Linked DNA regions of Oryza sativa Japonica Group. The main gene of each other region encodes a partner of the protein of the gene in region 2 in a complex. Links are inferred from orthologs where the notes say so. Each region holds a gene or a part of one and is shown on either strand. Other genes may lie near its edges.

Evidence for each region. Proteins that work in one complex are often made in the same cells at the same time.
Region 1: rps4 (region 2) and 30S ribosomal protein S31, chloroplastic share a complex: the UniProt entries of both Arabidopsis thaliana proteins name them as parts of the 30S ribosomal subunit. The link is inferred for Oryza sativa Japonica Group from reciprocal best matches to the Arabidopsis thaliana genes rps4 and PSRP4.

What each region holds. Positions count from the first base shown.
Region 1 is NC_089039.1:5,295,874-5,298,808, reverse strand, and holds 30S ribosomal protein S31, chloroplastic, read left to right. Parts: upstream 1-1,279; 5' UTR 1,280-1,325; coding exon 1,326-1,509; intron 1,510-1,727; coding exon 1,728-1,792; intron 1,793-1,876; coding exon 1,877-2,044; 3' UTR 2,045-2,435; downstream 2,436-2,935. Other genes in the region: pseudo histidine-containing phosphotransfer protein 2, read left to right, coding at 71-142, 241-313, 421-471.
Region 2 is NC_001320.1:44,310-46,727, forward strand, and holds rps4 (ribosomal protein S4), read right to left. Parts: upstream 1,107-2,418; coding exon 501-1,106; downstream 1-500. UniProt on the Arabidopsis thaliana protein: One of the primary rRNA binding proteins, it binds directly to 16S rRNA where it nucleates assembly of the body of the 30S subunit. With S5 and S12 plays an important role in translational accuracy.

The DNA of each region.
Region 1 (2,935 bases), on a different chromosome or scaffold from region 2:
CCGAAAGCTTGTCATCTTTGCCTGCTTTATGTGTTCAAAATTCGCTAAAGTTGGCCTGTGTTTGGCGCAGCATTGGTGCACTGAGGATGAAGAATGAGTGCTCTGTGTTCAAAGTAAACTGCAATGACAGGAATCTGGAAGGGTATGCATTTCATTGACTCGTCCAACTTGTTCTTCACATACTATCCAATCATCATGCAATTTCCTCACATGATGTGATGAGGCCATGTTCTCTTTCAGATGCCGCAGGTCTCTTCAGAAGATGAAGAGGGAGCATGCCACTCTGAAGCAGAAGCTGGAATCATATTTTCAGGTATGTTGTACTACATCCTTGTCTCTCTCTCTTTCTGTTTACCTTATTTTCAGCATTGCTACATGGCTAAACAACTTGGTTATCTCCTGTTCCTTCTGCTGATGCAGTTACTGAGGCAAGTTGGTCCCCGTGATTATGCAGTGAGCTCAAGGAAGTAAGAAGAACAGTATGAGTTCCAAGGAAAATAAAGAACATATACATAGCAGCTATCAGTCTCTTGAAAATTCTGTCGCTGAAAAGTTTTTGTGCCAATCAGATACTCATAATGCTTAATGGTGCCTTTTTGTTGTGTTTGGATTGCATCTGTAGCTCCATAATCCATATATACTGTATGAAGTTATGTAAAGCCCTGCTTATGCACACTCTCCTTGCCTGTCTACAAAGTGCCATGAACTTGTGTTATTAGTCAGTAATTGTAGCAGAAAGTGTCATGGTACTAATATGAGCTTTTAATGTTTGAAACTAGTAATATGTAAACTAGTTTTTTGGGTTAATTAATTGCCCAGGTGCCATCATGGAAAACTATTTGTTTGTACTTTGTATACTCAACAAACGCTATAGTCACATTCCCAGAACCAAAGACACTTAAAAACACTGGTTTTTCATCTCTTCCACTAATATTCATAACAGTGTTTGAGCTTTAACCATCAATATCATTTTGAACGTTTCGATTTCTAAAATCTTAAAAACGTTATGGCTAGATTTGTCTTCAGAAGTCCTAAAAATATCATAACTTTGCTATATTCTTCATAAGTTTTATACTAGTAGTAATAATTTAATCATAAAAAAATGATTATCTATAGAAAAAGAAATGAGAGGACAAAAAAAAAAGAAAGAGAAACATCAGAATTGCAGAGGGCCAAGCCAATCATGGGCTTGGTCCATAGGCCCAAGAGACAAAGCCCAATCCATGGGCCTGGGCTTCCCTTTCCCTCCGTTTTATCTACTCCGATGCACGCACAGCTTATCCGATTCCATCCATTCCTCAAGCTCTCACTCCTCTCTCGCTTCCATGGCGCTCCTCGCCGTCCACGCCATGGCCGCGTCCCCGGCCACCTTCCCCTCCTCCCACCACCACGCCGCCGTCTCCTCCTACTGCGCGCTCCCCGCCGCCGCCGCATTCTCCCGCTCCCGCTCTCGCGTCGCCGCCGCCGCCGCCGCCACCCTCTCGGCCCCGCTCACTCCAGTTCTTGAAGGTAACTGACATGCCTACCTAACCTCCCTGTCTCTGTTTTGTTCGTCAATTCGGATTAGTCTGGTGTGAAATTGGCTCGATGATCTTATATGAAACTGCTTTTCAAATCGTATTGCACGAATTCAATTGATACAGCACCAAAACATAGATTGAAACAAAAACCTCGCAGTTTGAACCAATTACGATTCCAACTCAAATTACTCCATTTGGTGTGACCAGTTTACTGCGGGAGAGGGGACAAGAAGACCAAGAGGGGAAAAAGGTTCAACCACTCGTACGGAAATGTGAGTCTCTAGCACAAAAATAAAATTAATAAAAAAATCATATGCTTATTGCTTCCTGTGCTGCTGTTTGCTGCAATTCTTCAGACTTGCCATCTGCTGACTGCTGTTTGCTCATCTCAGGCGAGGCCGCGCAACAAGAAGAAGGGAACTGGCCCTGCACGGCTGTTCGCGCCGCCTGCGCCTCCGAGGAAGGACCAGTTCGACGACGGCGAGGTCACCCCGATCGACATCGACGATGACATCCTGGAATAGGTTGTCTGAATTTCCCCCCTTGAATTATGGTTTACCTTGAGCTTACCTTTTGTCTAGTCTGTACCAAACACTGTTTCTTGAAATTAATTACAGTACATTACATGGTCTCATTCTACATAATGTAGATGCCTATGATTTCTTTCCTTGTAATATATATGAATGGTGCTGCTTAGAGTCATTTTTTATGCATTACCAGCTGAAGCAGAACATAAGTACAGATACAATCACCAAACTTTCATGTTCTTGCTAGAAACCAGGGAAGATGCAGTATCTCTTTTTTTTTTCTTTTCTAGCTGTGTCCCTGAATTCAAGCACCTTTTGACATGCTTCGAATTTGTTGTGATGATCTGGGAAGCAGTTCTTAAGAATCAACTAATAAACCAGTCCATCAGATCGGGTCAGAAATCTGCCCCTTTTTTGTTGTTTTGTCTGTTGACTCTGTTATGCGCTTGAGTTTTGACACAAGAAATTGTTTTGATGATCTGCAAAACATATTCCTTTAAAGCTGGACAACAAACCAGTTCAACTGGTCAGCTTGGTGGTAATTGTATGTTAAAATTCTGTCATTTTTTGTTGTTTCGTCTGCAAGTTTGTTGTGAGCTGCTCCCCCCGCCCACAAGGGTAAGCAACTATCTCGCCCGAAATATACTACAATTTTGGCCCAAACTGGAAGTGTAAACCCTGCTACGCAATGGCTTTAAGAACCCTAAACCCTGAAGCATGTTTTGTTTGCTACCATTTCAAGCCATCACAAATTTTGGTAAGATAACGAACCAAATATGTTCGAGTATCCCTACCTTACCAAAATTTGGTAACGTACGAAACAAACCCGCCATCTGTTCAAAAATTTGGTGAAGTAACAAACCAAACATTTTCCCACAGTCCTAACAT
Region 2 (2,418 bases):
TTAGATGAAAAGGAATTTTTCTATCTAATAGAACAATGGAACTCTCGCGCGGTTGTGGTTGTACCTGTACTGCAGGAATAGGAAAACTCGCTATTCACTCAGTTTTTTTTCCATAATAAGATTATGGAGGAGAGATGGCCGAGCGGTTCAAGGCGTAGCATTGGAACTGCTATGTAGACTTTTGTTTACCGAGGGTTCGAATCCCTCTCTTTCCGTTTTTCTTAATTCAGCAACGTTAATGATTACAATGTATCAAATCAAATGACAATTTATTCCAGCAATAATACAATACCTTTATTTAATAGAAATTCTCTATACCAAATTACTATGGTATGTAAAATACACATAGAGGAAAGAACAAAAAACAAAAAGGAATCCTAGGGTTAATCCATTTCTGTTAGGTGAATGGGAAAATACGAATTAAGAGCCTTAGGTCGATTTAGTTCGGGGAAAGGGGAAGGGAAGAAAAATTCTATGAACCTTTCCGTTTTTCCTTAAGTTCAAGTTTGACGAGAGTAATATTCTACAACTAACAACTCATTTATTTTGAGACCGACCCACTTCCTATCCAGGATTTTTTTTACTAGTCCTTTATATTGCAATGTGTCAATCGTCAAATGCTTTGGCAATTTCCCCGGGTCGGATGAAGCAATAGAATTTTGAACCAGACGTTTTGATCTTTGGTTATCCTTCGTAGTAATAATATCTCGGGGTTTGCAACGAAAACTTGGTATATCGACTATACGACCATTAACTAAAATATGTCTATGGTTAACTAATTGCCGGGCCTCGGGAATGGTTGAAGCCATACCTAATCGAAAAAGGATATTATCCAAACGCATTTCAAGTAATTGTAGTAAAACCTGACCTGTTGAACTTTTTGCTTTTCCAGCGATATGTACATATCTAAGTAATTGTCGTTCTGTCAGACCATAATGAAAACGCAATTTCTGTTTTTCTTGAAGACGAATACGATATTGTTCTTTTTTCCCAGAATGGAATTTCTTTTTCAGATTACTTCCGGATTTAGGTGTTTTTCTAGTGAGTCCTGGTAAAGCTCCCAGACGGCGTATTTTTTTAAAACGAGGTCCTCGATAACGGGACATGAAGACTCCTTTTTTTATTGAAATTTCATTTTACACAATTAATTTCATTGTATTTACATTACAGAATACATCGAAATTAAAACTGAATTAAAGTAAAGGATAAACAGAGTAAAATCTACTAAAAGTACCACAAAAAAATGGAATTTCATCAACATCTGAATTTTTGTATATATATTATTTATTTTATTGTTTTGTATCTAGCAAAATTGTAGGGTAGACCGACATAATAGATCCTGGCTTCTCCATTTAATTCGGAGAAAAAGAGGTATTTTTGTTCATGGAACATTGATAGAGAAAAAAGCCGACTATCGGATTTGAACCGATGACCCTCGCATTACAAATGCGATGCTCTAACCTCTGAGCTAAGTGGGCTTACATAACAGAAATAGTGTAACAAATAGAAATATGTATAGTATAGGAAATCCGTAAAATGTCAGATCTTAATTATTAATCTTAGCTATTAACTAGTTCGAAATTGGAAGTTCTACTTAGAAAAAAATACTAGAACTTCATAAAATAAAGTTAGATAGATTTTTTTGAACTTTCTTTTTTCTCTAATTCGCAAATCTATTTTTCTAATAGAATCTATTCCAATTTCTATATTGAATTTGATTTTAGATATTTTTAATTTGATATGGCTCGGACGAATAATCTAATACATGGAAAAGAATAAATAATATATATTATATACGAAAACATAATAAAGAGAACATGCGAATTTCTTGTATTTTCAGTCCATCATTATAGACATTTTTTGAGATTATTTTGTTTTTTTTTGTTATTTGCTAATAATTTAATGATTAATATTTCACTAAGGAGAACATAGAATCATAGCAAATGAAATTGCTAATTCTGATTAGCAAAAAAAAAGAATGAATATCAAGCGTTATAGTATGATTTTGAATACTCTAAAAAAGGAACGCGGTAGGTGGGGGAGAGAAAAACCTTGGGATATATTGATTCGCATTGAATTGCAAATACATCAACGATAGAATCAATTCAATGCTGAATTGCAATAAGCGGAGTCTCTCAACTAGAGACGAACCGCTAGACTACATAGAGTAATGAATTCAACGATTCAAAAAAAACTAACAGATGGAGGAAATTGCACAAGGAATCCTGGTCTCAAAGAAAAAGAAAATGGGGATATGGCGAAATCGGTAGACGCTACGGACTTGATTGTATTGAGCCTTGGTATGGAAACCTGCTAAGTGGCAACTTCCAAATTCAGAGAAACCCTGGAATTAAAAAAGGGGCAATCCTGAGCCAAATCCATGTTTTGAGAAAACAAGCGGTTCTCGAACTAGAACCC